Oryctolagus cuniculus: one gene and its partners. The protein of the gene in region 3 interacts with the protein of the main gene of each other region in a biochemical or structural test. Links are inferred from orthologs where the notes say so. Each region holds a gene or a part of one and is shown on either strand. Other genes may lie near its edges.

What was found.
Region 1: the proteins of ESR1 (region 3) and FOXO1 form a complex in vitro, tested with the Homo sapiens proteins (2 studies listed by BioGRID). The link is inferred for Oryctolagus cuniculus from reciprocal best matches to the Homo sapiens genes ESR1 and FOXO1.
Region 2: the proteins of ESR1 (region 3) and PRMT2 form a complex in vitro, tested with the Homo sapiens proteins (2 studies listed by BioGRID and IntAct). The link is inferred for Oryctolagus cuniculus from reciprocal best matches to the Homo sapiens genes ESR1 and PRMT2.
Region 4: the proteins of ESR1 (region 3) and PHB2 form a complex in vitro, tested with the Homo sapiens proteins (3 studies listed by BioGRID). The link is inferred for Oryctolagus cuniculus from reciprocal best matches to the Homo sapiens genes ESR1 and PHB2.

Annotation. Positions count from the first base shown.
Region 1 is NC_091440.1:72,837,647-72,841,886, forward strand, and holds the start of FOXO1 (forkhead box protein O1), read left to right. Parts: upstream 1-1,440; 5' UTR 1,441-1,576; coding exon 1,577-2,224; intron 2,225-4,240. UniProt on the Homo sapiens protein: Transcription factor that is the main target of insulin signaling and regulates metabolic homeostasis in response to oxidative stress.
Region 2 is NC_091435.1:202,865-206,917, forward strand, and holds the start of PRMT2 (protein arginine N-methyltransferase 2), read right to left. Parts: upstream 2,801-4,053; 5' UTR 2,657-2,800; intron 1,623-2,656; exon of another isoform or gene 1,309-1,622; intron 1,161-1,308; exon of another isoform or gene 1,158-1,160; 5' UTR 1,096-1,157; coding exon 1,057-1,095; intron 1-1,056. UniProt on the Homo sapiens protein: Arginine methyltransferase that methylates the guanidino nitrogens of arginyl residues in proteins such as STAT3, FBL, histone H4. Acts as a coactivator (with NCOA2) of the androgen receptor (AR)-mediated transactivation.
Region 3 is NC_091436.1:15,939,911-15,943,410, forward strand, and holds part of ESR1 (estrogen receptor), read right to left. Parts: intron 3,225-3,500; coding exon 2,889-3,224; intron 1-2,888.
Region 4 is NC_091440.1:102,571,499-102,575,607, reverse strand, and holds the start of PHB2 (prohibitin-2), read right to left. Parts: upstream 2,801-4,109; 5' UTR 2,623-2,800; coding exon 2,496-2,622; intron 2,348-2,495; coding exon 2,263-2,347; intron 1,995-2,262; coding exon 1,915-1,994; intron 1,119-1,914; coding exon 934-1,118; intron 413-933; coding exon 283-412; intron 167-282; coding exon 63-166; exon of another isoform or gene 27-62; intron 22-26; exon of another isoform or gene 1-21. Other genes in the region: EMG1 (ribosomal RNA small subunit methyltransferase NEP1), read left to right, coding at 3,009-3,176.

The DNA of each region.
Region 1 (4,240 bases), on a different chromosome or scaffold from region 3:
AGGACGTCCCGGACCTGGAGCCCAGATGGAGCAAGGTGGGGAGGTGGGGTGGGAGTGACTGATGGACGCAGCGGGCAGCCCCACAACCTGGGGGTGGGGCAGCGCTGTGGTCAAGGCTTCGGTCTCAGCCCCTCTCGCGTTTTTACTCAACACTTCATCACTTCTAAATAAAAAAGGAAGTAAGCCAACTGTTACACTTAATTACGGGCAAGGAATAAATGGACAAAGTGCTCGCGAACTTGCTCTGCCGACCCTTCGCCGCGGCCACCGCTGGCCCGGTGGACAGTGCAAGGCTGGCGCGCTAGGGCAGAGTGTCCCAGAGGATAGGAGACCCAGGGACCCTGTGCTTGCCCAGCCCTTTCCCTCATTTCTGCCCTTTTAGGTCAACAATGGCAGAATTCGGGCCGGACGACCAGCCCCGGGGGCGGCGCGCGCAGGTGGGTTCCGGCGCGGGGGCGGCGCGGCTGGCGTCCCGTGCCGGCAGGGACCCGACCACAAGGCCCACGGTCTCCCGGGGTGGGGACGGGGAGGCGTGTGCGGCCCGAGCGGGGGCAGGAGGACTTGACCGAGCGCAGCGAAAGAAAACGCTGCACGAAAACAAACCCTGCCGACTTCCCCGCACCGCGCCGCGCGGACCGCGTGGGTGGAGCGGAGAGGGGGCGACCGAGTGGAATTCCGCGCGGCCGCCTCCACCCCGCCCCGCCCCGCGCCCTGCCCTGCCCTGCCCTGGTCTGGGCGCCGAGCGGAGGTCGGGGCCACGGCAGCCGCTCGTTCCGCTCGGGCTTCGCCAGTCCACGGCTCGGCTCCCCCGTAGTAAACAAAGTGTCGCCGCCGCCTCCACGTTGGTTTGCCTCTCAGCAGTCAAAACAGTAAGAGGGCGAGAGACTCGCAGAAATACTCGAGAATTACCAGAAAATAATCACAAAAAGAGAGAGAACGTGCGTGTGCGCCAACGAGAAAAACACCCCACTACCCCCCTACCAACCCACAGCCGCCTCCTCGTGGAAAACCGGGCCCCTCCCCAGCCCTCTCCCACTGGCTGCTTGGGCGGCGGTGCCGCGCGCCCATTGGCTGCGCGGGCTGTCAATCGGGGGCGGGCCGGCGCGCGCGCCGCCGCGGGCGGGGGGCGGTGGCAGATCCCGTAAGTCGGGCAGCCGCGTAGTTGCTGCTGCCGCCGCCGCCGCCGCCGCCGCCTCCAGCGCATTCAACAGGCAGCTGCGCCGCGCTCGCGCCGCCGGCGAGAGCGAGCGGCCCGCGGTGTCCGTCCGTCCGTCCGTCCGTCCGTGGCCCTGTCAGCAGGAGCGCGGCCCTGGAGCTGCCCGGCTCTGGCCAGCCGTCCTGGTGGTGCAGCGAACCCGGAGCAGCCTTGGATGTTGATGGACCCACGAAGTTAAGTTCTGGGCTCGCGCGGCTACTCCGCTGCTCCTTCCTCCCGGTTTCCGTCAGCTCGCGGCACTGACTTCGTCCTCCCCCCATCCCCCCAGGATCTCGGGCCAGCCTTTGCGCCCCCTCCGCTCCGCGCTGCGCTCCCCCCCTTCTCGGCTCTCCGGCGGCTGGGGGAGGGGCGGGGGTCACCATGGCCGAAGCGCCTCAGGTGGTGGAGATCGACCCGGACTTCGAGCCGCTGCCCCGGCCGCGCTCGTGCACCTGGCCGCTGCCCAGGCCGGAGTTTAGCCAGTCCAACTCGGCCACCTCCAGCCCGGCGCCGTCGGGCGGCGCGGCCGCCAACCCCGACGCCGCGGCGGGCCTGCCCCCAGCCTCGGCGGCCGCTGTCAACGCCGACTTCATGAGCAACCTGAGCCTGCTGGAGGAGAGCGAGGACTTCCCGCAGGCGCCCGGCTCCGTGGCGGCGGCCGCAGCGGCGGCGGCGGCGGTGGCGGCGGCCGCGGCGGCTGCCACCGGGGGACTGTGCGGGGACTTCCAGGGCGCAGAGGCGGCGGGCTGCCTGCACCCGGCGCCGCCGCAGCCCCCGGCGCCCGGGCCACTGTCACAGCACCCGCCTGTACCCCCCGCGGCTGCTGGGCCGCTCGCTGGGCAGCCGCGCAAGAGCAGCTCGTCCCGCCGCAACGCGTGGGGCAACCTGTCCTACGCCGACCTCATCACCAAGGCCATCGAGAGCTCGGCCGAGAAGCGGCTCACGCTGTCTCAGATCTACGAGTGGATGGTCAAGAGCGTGCCCTACTTCAAGGATAAGGGCGATAGCAACAGCTCGGCGGGCTGGAAGGTGAGCGGCCGGACCGGGGCGCGGTGGGGCAGGTGCGGGGGTGGCTGGGCGGGTCGCGCGGGCGGCCGAGGGCGGGTGGGAAGTGGCAGGTGCGGGGGCTTGCCCGGGCGGAGGGGAGGCGCGCGCGCGCCGCAGAGTTGCGGTGGGACAGGCACAGGGGCGTGTTGGGGGGGAACTGAGGCGTGAAGAAAGTGCGTCAGGAACTGGGCGTCAGAGCGGGCAGGAAAGTTTGCCAGTCAGAGAGAGAAGGTTTCACGCGGAGCGGCTGCCCCTTTTGCCTCCCGGACCTCCGGCGGGGAGGGCGGCTCCTCTCCGCCCTCGCAGCGCGGGGCCGTTTCCGCCGCGCCGAGCGGTGGAGGGGGCGGCGAGGGGGGCACCCAAACCCGGGGGGCACGGCTGCAGGTGGAGGGGACAGCCTTGGGACGGTGCGGGGTCGGCCGCGCCACTTCTGGAGGCCGATGCGCTTTTGGCTTTGTTTTGGTTTTATCCCGGGTGGCCTCGGGTGCTGGGGTCCAGGCGCGCCGAGCCCGAGGGAGCGCCTCCGACACGTGCGAAGGGGCGGCCACCGCCTGCGGAGCGCCGGCGCCCGGCCGCGCGGGGCGAGCTAAGTTCAAGTGTGACCCTCGGCGGGGGCGGGCGCCGGCGGCGGCTGGGGAGGGGCCGCGGGCGCAGGAAGCGAGCGCCTTTAAAGGGCCAGCGCGGCGGGCCGGCCCCGGTCCACGCAGGGAAGCGCCCCAAACATGGGCTTGGCCACGGTGTGAGGCTAATAATTAGAAACACGGAGGCAGGCCAGGGTGGGTGTGTGTGTGCGCGCCCGCGCGCCTTTTCTTGGCCTCGCCACCTCAGTGTTATGAAGCGCTGGTGCGCCGGTGAGGGCCGACGCAGGGGGTTTTGTGACCCTTGCGGCCGGGGAAGTCGCAGAGGAGGTGCGCGTCCGGGCCACGGCAGGACATCCTGAGCGAGGCTGGCAAAGACTCGGGTGGGGGGTGGCTGGCGCATCCCTTCCCCGCCTTGAAGGCCGCGGGAGGACGCGCTCGGCGCGGGCCCCCGAAAGCCGACAGTTTCTCACGGTTTTGGATGTGAAAAGACTCGCTGCTTGAATCAGACCCCTTTCTCGCCTCGCCTGGCCCCTTAGCGTGACTGTACGGCGTAACACGGAGTGGTCTTCCCCGCGCGAGCGTTACAGCGACTGGCTCACATACCCTGTCGGTTCTGTGGTTAATGTGTCAGAAAGGTCAGCTTCCTCACATCTTATTGAGGTTCCTTGGAGAAGGAGTCAGGACTTTATTTTTCCTAACAGTGTTTAAGAGTAAAAGTATCACTTATAACCTCATTAGTAGGCATTACGTGCAGTTTTGCCAAGTGGTTCGTAAAAGTAAAGTGCCTTCTTGCTGTAGGCTCCTTGTATCTTGTGTTCTCAGTCACAAAATGAAGATTGTCAAATCCAATTTCACTTAGTATTGGAATTTAAGTACTTGACTGATTTGCTCATCTATCAATTCTATTTAAGCTATTAAAAAGCATTTGCAATTAAATTTTTTTTTTGACATTCAGAGTACTGTGTGTACTTAGCCATTCTTTCACGTCCTTGGAAATGGATACAACTTACTTCAACTTGCTGGAGTAGCTTTCTTTAAAGATAAGGGCAGTGTTTCAGGATATTTTTAGTTTGCCTCTCAAGGCATTGTCAAGGTATTCTGACACTAGGAATATAACTTAGAACTTTTTAAGGCTTAGACTTTATATGTATGTAAACTCTAAGGTCATATCACCCCCTTAACCATTTTCTTAAGTTCTTGTTTTAACATTTTTTTTTTAAAGATGCAGGTATAATTTTGTATTTTAAAATTGTCTTTAGGAGAGCTATTAAGTGCTGAGTAGGGACCATGTGCTGAGTGGCAGCTCCCAGAGGGAACTCCGAGCCTGGCCTTGGGAGGGAGTAGTCTGTGTTTGTCAGATGAGTAGATGTTTCAGGAGTAATGAAGAATCAGTTGGTGCAAGTCAGATTCCAGCAAG
Region 2 (4,053 bases), on a different chromosome or scaffold from region 3:
GCCGCTGCAGCCGGTGCACCGCGCTGATCCGATGGCAGGAGCCAGGAGCCAGGTGCTTTTCCTGGTCTCCCATGGGGTGCAGGGCTCAAGCACCTGGGCCATCCTCCACTGCACTCCCTGGCCATAGCAGAGAGCTGGCCTGGAAGAGGGGCAACCGGGACAGAATCCGGCGCCCCAACCAGGACTAGAACCCGGTGTGCCGGCGCCGCAAGGTGGAGGATTAGCCTATTGAGCCACGGCGCCGGCTCAAAATGTTTGATTTTTTAAAACATCTATTAGAATATTAGTTTATTTTACATAACCAACATTCCTTAAAATTTAACGTGTTTTTTTTTTCTTTTTTTTACTGCTAGCTTGAATGAAATTATGTGTGTAGCCCAGGCAGAAAACAGTGTGCATACATGTATCTCTTCTAATTGGCTGGTATTATACTTGGGTGTCATCAAATAGCTAGGAAAGCATGCTAGTTTCACTAGTTCAGGCACCAAAACTGAGTCCTAGGTGACTGATATTTTTGTGTGCAGTTTCTTTTTTTGTTTTTTACTAAGTGCTTAATTTTATTTATTTAAAAGGTAGAGAGAGACAGAGAGAGAGAGCGAGAGCAAGCTCATGTGCTGGTTCATTCTCCAAATGCCCACAACAGCAGGGCTTTGGACCAGGCAAAGACAGGAGCCAGGAATTCAATCTGGGTCTCCCATGAGGGTGGCAGATATCCCGCTATTTGAGCCATCACCTGCTGCCTCCCAGGGTGCACCACAGCAGAAAGCTGGCATCAGGAGCCAAGCCAGCACCTGAAGCCAGGCACTCCCACGCTGGATGCAGGTGTGCAGAGGACCCCGTGTTCTGACCACCGGAAGTACTCCCTAGACATGTTTCCAGCACCAGCACGGGAACGCCATCTGCAACCCTGTACCTCAACGCTCTTTCAACGGAAGCAGCCCGCTGTGGGGGCCACCTTCAAGGACACAAGTGACGCTCCTGGCTTGTGAGCTGACACTTGTTTCTGTCACATTCACGCTCGTTGGGCACGAGTTCTTACACTGCAGACAAAATTACCTGAGACTCACTCCCGGGGCAGTCACCTGACGTGGCCATAGTTCCCTCGGGCTCTGCCTCATACCTGCTGCCTTTATTATTTCATTTTCTCCTCCTCGTTTCTACTGAGAGAGAGAGGGAGGGGGAGAGGGGGAGAGGGCTGTTACACCGCTTGACAATCAAATCCATTTAACTTCTGAGGCACACTAGAAAGGTCCCCGACCCAAGTGAAACCAACCTACGCGTGCGCCGCGGTGTGGAGATGAAACTCACCCTCAGTTCTACAAGGCCCATCGAAAGCACCACAAGCGGCACAGGCACACGCGCGTCCCGGGCTGGCCCGGGCGCTCCTGGGGTCGCCCTGGGACGGAGCCCCCCGCCTCTCCTCAGCTCCCCCGCGCCTGCCAGCGCCACACTCCTATAGAACGCACGCCTCGCCTACAAACAGGCCTGACCCTACTCTCGTGATTCCTGGAACCGTAACTACTAACTCCGCTGGAAACCTGGGCCCACCTACGACGGCGCGAGGGTGCGGCCCGGATCTGACGCCGGGGCCGAGGCAGCTCTGGGAGAGACCTGACGGGAGGGAGGGAGGGAGCCCCGGGAGCGGCGCGGCCGGCCCGGGCCGAGGGGGCGTGGCGCCGCGAGGGGCGTGCCTGCGGGGAGGGGCGTGCGCCGGGAGGGGCGTGCGCCGGGAGGGGCGTGCCTGCGGGGAGGGGCGTGGCTAGGGCGGAGCTCTGGGAGAGACCTGACGGGAGGGAGGGAGGGAGCCCCGGGAGCGGCGCGGCTGGCCCGGGCCGAGGGGGCGTGGCGCCGCGAGGGGCGTGCCTGAGGGAGGGGCGTGGCTAGGGCGGAGCTCTGGGAGAGACCTGATGGGAGGGAGGGAGGGAGCCCCGGGAGCGGCGCGGCCGGCCCGGGCCGAGGGGGCGTGGCGCCGCGAGGGGCGTGCCTGAGGGAGGGGCGTGCCTGAGGGAGGGGCGTGGCTAGGGCGGAGCTCTGGGAGAGACCTGACGGGAGGGAGGGAGGGAGACCCGGGAGCGGCGCGGCCGGCCCGGGCCGAGGGGGCGTGCGCCGGGAGGGGCGTGCCTGCGGGAGGGGCGTGCGCCATGAGGGGCGTGCCTGCGGGGAGGGGCGTGCGCCGGGAGGGGCGTGCCTGCGGGGAGGGACGTGGCTAGGGCGGAGCTCTGGAAGAGACCTGACGGGAGGGAGGGAGGGAGACCCGGGAGCGGCGCGGCTGGCCCGGGCCGAGGGGGCGTGGCGCCGCGAGGGGCGTAGCTCGGCCAGGGTGGGGCCCCGAAGAGGGGCGGGGCCGCTGGTAGGCGTGGCGCAGGAGAGGGGCGGGGCCCCGGAGAGGGGCGGGGCCTCCGGTGGGCGTGGTGCCGCGTAGGGAAAAGGCGGGGCGTCGGAGAGGGGCGGGGCAACGGGGTGGGGCAGGCGCGGAGCTCGCGGACAGCCGCTACAGCGCAGAGCCGAGGAACCGGGAGGGCGCTCGGGGGTCCCAGGAGGAGACGGAGGCTTCAGTCGGCCAGCGACGCACACGGGGGGCGAGGACCCCCTCACCCTACAAGTCCTGCCTCAAGTGCAGCCCAGCCTCCTACGCTGGGTCCACCAGGACACCTACCTCAGTCGCTTCTCCCCGCCGAGTTGCACATCCACGCCACCAGCACGTAGGGGCTGACGGTTCCCCACCGGGAGCCAGAGCCACCGCCCTCGGCCTGCGCAGGCGCAGTGCGCACGAGCCGCGCCCAGGGGAGGCCCCGCCCCGAGGCGGGGCCATCCTACCGCGCAGGCGCACTCCACAGGCTACGCCTTCTGCGGGGTAGAGCCGAGTTGCGTCGTCAGCCCGTGTGAGGAACCGGCTCCCGTGCCCACAGCCGGCCGGGGCGGGAGTCGGACGCCGGGAACGGGCGCGGGTACGTAGACGGGGGCGGAGGGCTGGGGGTCGGACGCGGTGCGCGGCAGCTGTGGGCAGCGTGTTGCTGGCCCAAGACCCCGATTGGGGTTTTCTTGTGGTAATTCAGGGACCTTCCGTTGTCCGTGTGGACCGGGTCTGGACGCCGGGAGCGCCGCGGTCAAGTAGGGTTTCCCCCGCCAGAAGCCCGGGGTTACCGGAAGGCGGACTGCCGTCCCTGCCCCAGCTGGGAGAGCGGCCCCAGAGCTGTGTGGTCGCACAGGGTGAGACGAATGTATAAAAAACATTCAACTTGAAGGTCTGATTGGGTTTTGTGTGCAATTCTAGATTCAGTCAACACCCTGTTCTAAATGAGCGTTCTAGTGAGCTGAGCAGATGTTAGTTTAATAGACAGAGGGCTGAGGAGAGCAGAAACAGACAAAAGAGGAATTTCCAAGTTACTTTCCTGCCACATCTGGCCTGTCTGGGAATGTGGCCTCTCCCTCCCTGCCTCTGTGCTCTCAGAAGTCAGATAAACATTCTGCTTTCAGCTTGGTGACTTGGACTTGGGGCATCAGTGAGTCCATAATGGTTTGGTCTTTTGGGTCTAGTGCAGGGCAGCCTCCCATAATCTACACAACAACCTAAAATACCAGCCCCTCCCAGCGCACCTGCTGAGGCAGACGCACACCTAATGGTCTGCATCAGCAGCACACAGGCACGGCCCTGGCAGGGGGTCCACAGGGGCTTCTGATGCTTGTGGGCTGGCATGATGGATTGGAAATGAGAAGAGCAAACAGGCAGGTCTTGACCTGCGTGGTAGAGTGAAATCGCACCAGCCTTCTCCCTCAGGAGGCTCGTGCTAAGCCAAAACCTGTCAGTCAGGGCGAGAAAAGCAGTTCTCAATGAGAAGTCCAGGAGTGAAGTCCAGGCTTGGGGTGGGCATTGTGCCCCAGCCAGTTACGCCACCTCCTGCAATGCAGACATCGCATATGAGTGCAGTGCTCTTTTGAGTGCTAGCTGCTCAACCTGCGATCCAGTTCCCTGCTAATGCACTAGAAAAGCAGCAAAAGCTGGCCCAAGTGATTGGGCTCCTGCCAACCACGTGAGACACCCAGATGGAATTC
Region 3 (3,500 bases):
TGAGCCTCAGTTAAATGAGTTAACATTTACTCACTAGATTCACTATGTGTAAGATAATAATAAATTAAGATTTCATAACTTGATTGCTTAATACTAAATCTCCAACCACAGATTATAAAATGCCAATACACATAGATTTCAAAGCAAACTGAAAAGAGAAAAGCCTTCTCTACAACTAAATATCAAGGAGTAAATATACAACACAGGCTACTTAAAAATCCTTCTCGGAGCTGGCTGAGTAAATTTTATGTTTCTTGTTGCCTCTGTGGTTTATAAATCACAAAAGGAAAAAAATAAGTTCTTACTTCTGTCTTTGTTCAGATCTTACACATGTACTTTACAGAGGAGCTTGTCTATCATAATGTGATGGTATTATGAATGATTATGTTTTATGATTGTATTATGCTCTCCATATCTAAATTCTTAGGAAAGAGAAATATCAAGTAAAGACATAACTTGCAAACATCAAGAGAAAGGAAAATTCAACTTATAATCATGTTTACAATTCTGACAATATTGTTAGTAAAAAACATGGTCTATGACTACTATACTGGTTGCTCAAAAGTGTTAATTAAATTTTGTCATTTAAAATTAAATTAATTCAAAACTTCAGTTCAATTCACAGTCATCCTAAGAATTATCCCAATATCCTCTGCAGGTTTTTGTGTCATTTAGCTAATCACAGGGACTTTTAGAACTGGCTTCCTTGTTATTCTTCTTGCCAATGATATATTTCATTCCCTCCTCTACAAGTTGCTATTATAATTATCAAATGATTACCACAAAAATATAATATTGTCTATATTAGATTTTATTGAAAGCTATTTGTTTAAATAACAGAGGGTATTTGGATCTATGTGGCTTTGTCAAATGTTCTGAAGACATTCTTCTTCATAGTCCTTGCAGAAAACATTTTTCTTTCCTCATTTTTCATCTTTTTTAAATCAATGGCAAGTTTTAATTTGCTTGGTCAGGAAAGAAGTCTTTTGATGTTCAACAGCTGTATTTCAGTGGCACACACACATACACACACACACATACAAACATGTATATATATATAACTGAATTTTCATCTTTATAGTTATCCAAATCAACAAATAACAAGATGTAATTTGGTCCAAGGATTTTTGAATCATCCAGGTCTTTTAAATGAACGCCATGATGTTCTATAGAATTTATTTCCATAAATTTGTCTAGTTCTGGGCTTATCAGTAGGATGGTTATGCCTGGTTATTATTTCTTCCTTCCCTGATTTATGTCTCCACTTTTATTCCTGAATTCAGAAGATAATTGTCATGAATTCTTTCATCCACTAGTAATGTATTTTAACTTACTTTGAGTTACTTCAAATGCTCTTCAAAGTTTTATAATTATAATAATAGCAGGATGGGAATCTACTGATAAGTATGAAAAATGTAATCTTGTATTCAGCAGGCCAAGATTTCATGAGGGAAAAATATATGCTAACAGGACAATAAAACTTAACAGTAACCACACTTGGCTGTCAGGGATGTGGCCATTAGTTTTTTTCTTTGCTTGTTTCTCTTCTCCCAAAGGATAAAAACAAGAGCATAGCAAATATAAAGGAAAAAAATCTATAGCCATATTAAGTTTAGATCCCAATATGTGCATTTAATGTATCTGCTTCGTTAAGAATGCTAGAACATGTAGGTGAACGAGGAAACTCTTAAGCCAAAAAATGACCAGGAGTTTTTGTTTGCCAGTTGGACTGACTTTGAAAACCCAAATTTGCCCATTATTACCCATGCTTTCAAGCAACCCAATATCCACCACTCCATTCACATATGCAGATGCCTTCCAACAAGTGGATCTCAGACCTGGTCTCCCACCCCACCCCCATTTAAAGGGCTGCATGCTTATATCTTGGTTTATAAAAAACACAGGTGAGAATCTCTGAGGCCAGACATATATTCACTTGGTCTATCTCATATCAGTGACTCTTGAAGTACAAACACCATACTCTATATCTTTCGGTTCACTTAAAATATCCATTAATTAAAGGCAATAGTTTCACTCATGAAAATGAATCAAATGAGCAAATCTCTATATAAATCCATCTCTCACTTGCCCCGTGAGTCCAGAAAAGAGATTTAACTTCCTCCCACTTGGTTTTATCCTTATTAATTCCTGAATGGGTATACTGGGCTGTGGAGAAGGTCATTTCCTAGTCTTGTTTCCATAATAACTAGAGTTATTCTCTCCGATCAACAAGAACAGCAGTCAAGTTTTACAGAAACACCACTTCTGAGAAAAATCAATGTGAGGACAAAAGCATCACTTGAACCATTGTGTCTTTGTACCAGCTCTTCTCTAGGATAAAACTCTAATTGATTTTTCTATTTTAGTTCCCTTTCTCCTAAAATACTAAGTAAAAACCATGTTAGATAAATAATTGGCACAGTTCATAAACCTATCATTATTGCCTTAGTCCACAGAAAAGATTTTAAAGGTAAAATGCTTATTAGTAATTGAAGTATTTTGGAAAAATAGTTCTCAATATTTAAAAAATGTTGTGGCTCATTTAATGTTAAACTCTTCTGAAAAACTGTGAACATATGATAGTGAATGTATTTATCATGTAGGGTCCACCTTAAATCTTTTTGGCAAATACTCTGGGTTGAAAATACTTAAATTATGTCAAAGTAATGCTTTTTAACTGTCTATATTTTGATTATAAAAGATTGTTTTCTGATTTCTAAGAGAATCACAGTGCACTGATATTAAATATTAAGAAATTATGATGCAGCCTTGAAATCAATGGAATAGTAAGGAATTACTTCCTTGTCTCCTACAGTTTCTCCCATGCCATCACAACCAATCCTTGAAAAGCTGTTGAATCAAAATAAAAATGAACTTAGTCTTCTTACCTGGAACCCTCTTTGCCCAGTTGATCATGTGAACTAGCTCTCTGTCTGCCAAGTTGGTCAGTAGGCCCATCATCGAGGCCTCACTGAAGGGTCTGGTAGGGTCGTACTCAGAATAGATGATGGGGGGCTCAGCTTCCAACAAGGCACTGACCATCTGATCGGCCGTCAGAGACAAGGCTGGGCTATTCTTCTTAGTGTGCTTGATCAACAGAGGGCTTGGCCAGAGGTTGGCAGCCCTCATGTCTCCAGGGGGCCCTGTTTCATTCCTGCCTTCCCCATCATCTCTCTGGCGCTTGTGTTTCAACATTCTCCCTCCTCTTCGGTCTTTCCGTATACCTGAAAACATGAATGAAAATATTAGTTTCGCTTTTTTTCCACAGAAACTTTTATACAAAAACCAACTTCAAAGATAATATCTTTTTATTTCACTTAAATAAATGCTTAAGGTTTAACAACTGGCTCTCCAAAAGAAAAAAAAAAGGAGTTTGGATTTGTAGCTTTTGCCAGTCTCCATGGTGTAAATATTATCACCATAACAAACTTCAGGACACTTCTCTGGAGTCAGGTAGCGTAGAAAACTCCTGAAATTTAGTAGCAGGTTTGGTGAACCAT
Region 4 (4,109 bases), on a different chromosome or scaffold from region 3:
CGCCTTAGTCTCATCAGCCGGCCCACAGGGGAGAGGAGTGGAGCTCTCTGGCAGAAGGATATCATCTTGGCGGCCTCAGCCTCGCCCTCGGCCTGCACAATCTTCTGGCGCTGTTCCTGTTTTGCTTTTTCCACCAAGAACTGGGCCCGCTGGGCCTCTTGCTGGGCTACAGGGTGGGAGAGGCGGAGGGAACAGTCAACAGATGTGAAGGTCAGGGGCCTGATCCAGAGTCCGTTCTTCCACATTCTCAGACGCCCGCGCCCTCCTCCCCTTGCAACTCACCCACTTGCTTGGCTTCCACGGCAGCTGTGTACTCTCGGCTGAAGCTCAGCTCCGTGATGGCCACATCATCCAGGATGAGGCTGAAGTCCTTGGCCCGCTCCGTCAGCTCCCGCCGGATCAACAGGGACACCTGGGGGCAGGGGTGAGGAGGGGAGGGCAGGGCCGGTTTGTGGGAATTGGAGAACTGAAAGGAAGGTTGTGTTGCTATGACCACCTGAACACAGATCACGTAAGTGTGGCCATCAGCTCACCCAGCCTCTCTTGGTTCCTCAACAGAACATCTTCGCATTTGATGGGGTGGGGAGTTGGGGGGGGGGAGGGAGGCACAGCCTCGGAGGTGGGACAGCCACCCCAGGCTAGCAGGTCCTCCAACTGTCTCCGCTACTTAGCTTCCTGTCGGGCCGACCCGTGACACAAGCCCCTGTGCCGAAAGAGGCACCGGAGAAGCCTAGGTTTTCCCTTCGCTCCCTCCCCAAGTGCCCTCGAGCTCTGGTGCTGGTTTTTCTCATTTCTCGCGTGGCCATCAGTTCAGCTTTTAGTGGAAGTGGAACGGCAGCTATGGCCCTTTTCTAAGAAGCTGCCTTTTCAGGACATTTAGTTCTCTGGGTCTAGCAGGGCAATGACACCGCGCAGACGGTGAGGGGGGCCGACCTGGGCTCGCTGCGTGATCAGCTGCGAGGCATTGAATTTGGCCACCACGCTCTTGAGCACCTCGTTGACGATGGACGGCAACACTCGCTCCTCGTAGTCCAGCCCGAGGCGCTGGTACATGCTGGGCAGCTCCTGGGCATTGGGTCGAGACAGCACTCGCAGGGAGATGTTCACCATCTGCAGGTCTGAGAGTGAGGTCAGCAGTGGATGGCCAAGGACGAGTGTCCTTCCCTGAGCCCTTTCTCTTCCTAGGCCCAGAACAATGACACGCAGCCTGCTGCCCCCCTTGGGGAAGGGGTGCAATCAGGCCAACAGGGAACACAGACACAGCATGTGTGCCCACACACGAGGGCATCTGGGGAGCCAAAGGCAGCGCCGACTCCTCTTCTGCCATTGTATTCATGCACCCTCTAATGCAGGCCCTGTCATCTGGCTCTTCTACTAGACAGTGAAATCCTTTACTCCCAGGATTTATCCAATGAAGAATGGACCTGTGCTAAAATCAGTACAGGGCACATTACAGGCTACAGGTATGCTACTCGCCTAAGTGTGTACACATCTGTGTGTGTGTAGGTGGGATGAAAAGGCGGCCAAGCAATCTCAAAGGAAAGGCTTCTAGGAAGAGGAGCAGGTGCAGGAGTGGGGAGAAATTTCTCCAGGACACAGGGTACTCATGGATGAGCTACTGAGTCAAGCAAGAGAGAAAAAAGGCTTTCAAATAAAGCTTTGATCTTGGGAGTAAGACAAAGGCCTGGCAGCGCTCTCCTGAGTTAGTGGAGGGAGGTGCCAAGAATAAAAATATGCAAACACACTGTATCTGGACCGTGTTGGCCCTGGGAGGCAGGTGGTTCTGTTAGAGCTGTTTCTGCAGAGGTGGAACCCAAGGTCATAGGGACCTCCCCAAGGGTCTCTAGTTGGGCTCCCTTATTCAATTTTTAGGGGGTCCAATCTGCCACGTGACTCTCAAGCACCCAGACCTACCTTTGGAGCCTGTGGGGGAGGAGATTTTCCGAGGCCTGGCCCGAATGTCATAGATAATGGGGTACTGAAACCAGGGGATCCTGGCGGGAAGAGACGGGAACAGGTGTTAGGAGACTGCGGCTTCCCAGCATTGCCTGGCTTCCTCTCGCCACGCGGTCTTTGGCCTGCCCCTCCCCGCAGTGACCACAGACAAGGGGCGAACAACAGGTCATGTGTTGATCCAACTTCGGGCAGCACGCGGCTGAGGCGGGGAAAGCGCAGCGCCGACTCCCATTCCAAGTCCGACCACAGCCAGCGGTGGGTCGGCGACTGGGAGCTTCGGGGTCCTTGTGCTCCACCCTCCATTACCTGAAGTGCAGGCCCTCGGCCAGGATGGTGTCCTGCTGCACGCCCCCGATCCGGTTAAAGAAGATGGCCCTGTGCCCGCCTTCCACTGTGGGGAGAGGAGTGAGGGTCAGGCCAGTGCGCTGCTCGGAGAACGTGCTGGGCTGAGGGCGGGGGGAGTGAGGGGCTCGCGGAACGCGGGAGCTGGCGACGCAGGCCGGGGGTCTGGGGTCCGGCTAGCGGTGGAGGTTGCTCACCGGTGAACACCGACTCGCGGACGCCGTAGGCCACGGCGCCGGCCCCCAGCAGCAGTTTCAGCGCCGTGCCCATGCCCCGAGGCCCGGCGGGCAGCCGTCCTGCTAAGTCCTTCAAGTTTTGGGCCATGTCTGGTCCGGAGGCCGGCGGCACCGGAGGTCAGAGCTGGGGCGGCGGCCCGCCTCGACCCCACTCGTTCAGAGATCACACCCACACACGAGGGTTCGAGGCCGTGCTGCTCCCGGGAGAAAGGGCACCGGAAGTGCGCTCCTCTCTAAACCCGCCCCCTGCGCGCAAGGAGGACCCAAACTTCGCGCACAGACGCGCGCACCCGGAAGTCCCGCCCCCTTCTGGAACCCTGCCCTCCCGGGGAGGCGTCGCTAGCGCGAGACGGCAAAGCGTCGCCATTTTCCAGCGCCCACTTTCAAAATGGCAGGCGGAAGGAAGTTTGCCATTTGGACGAACGCGGGGTCCTCAGTTAAGGACGCCGGCGCAATTTCCGGCCCGGTGGCAAGATGGCTGCCCCCAATGGTGAATTCCAGCCTCGTGAGTGGCGCTCTGGGGAGCGGGAAGAGGACTGGGATGCTGCGGCGCCCAAGCGGCCTCGACTCGGGGCAGGAAGCAAGAGCGGAGGCCGCAGGCTCATTGTGGTGCTGGAAGGGGCCAGTCTGGAGACAGTCAAGGTAGTTTGGGAGACGAAGTGGCGAAGTAGGCGTTTTATATGGGCTTTGGGATGACGCCGAGGGGCTCGAAGTGGACGGAGAACGCATGCTTTTGGATGAAGGGGGCCTAGCTGCTGTCTCTTGGCTTGACATCCCGGGTGGACTATTCATTTTCTTTTCCCTTTTTCGAATCCTGTTCCAGCCCGCGTCTCCTTGCCTCTAGTTGCTGTACCAGGCTCCTGTGTTACAAAATCTTTTAAGGGGAGAAGCGTTTCGTTCATGCGTCAGCCCACCTCTTATTCCTAAGGGCTCTGTGTTGCAGTGCGTTAAGGTGCCCACTGTCACCGCCTCTCGGTAGTACGAGCCAGTACTTGTATGTCTTCATTTTTGCTTCTCATCCGTCTCTTCCCATACAGTAAAACCGTCAGCTTCCTGTTATGAAATGCCATCATTCCCTCTGGTTTTCTTACTCTTTTAGAACTTGTTCAAGGAGTAGGCCAGAAGAAATAGCATTGCTTGAGAAGTCTTACCTGAATTTTAATCTTGGTTCTGTCACTGATGCTAAGTGTGATTTTGAGAAGATAAATTCGTCCTCCGTTTGTAAAATGAGGATAATACGTTAACGTAGAACTGTTATGAAAGTCCTTTAATCTAAGGTGAGATGCTTTTGCATCTGTTCTCTCTTAACCACGGTGACACTTTATTAAGCTTGCAGTCTAGGAAACCTGCTTTTTTTTTCTAATGTACTTCATATTTGCAACCTCATTATAGGTTCTCCTCGTCATCTTCAGTAATTGTCTTTCTTTCCAGTGTATTAACTCTGCATATTAATTTTGGCATTTGTCATGTCAGGTATTGCATATAGCGAATTTGCAAATGTACCAAGCATGTCAGTCTCAGCAGAGCAGACGGGTTGAGAATGTGGACCTGCCCTGGGCTGCCTGGTTTAGATCT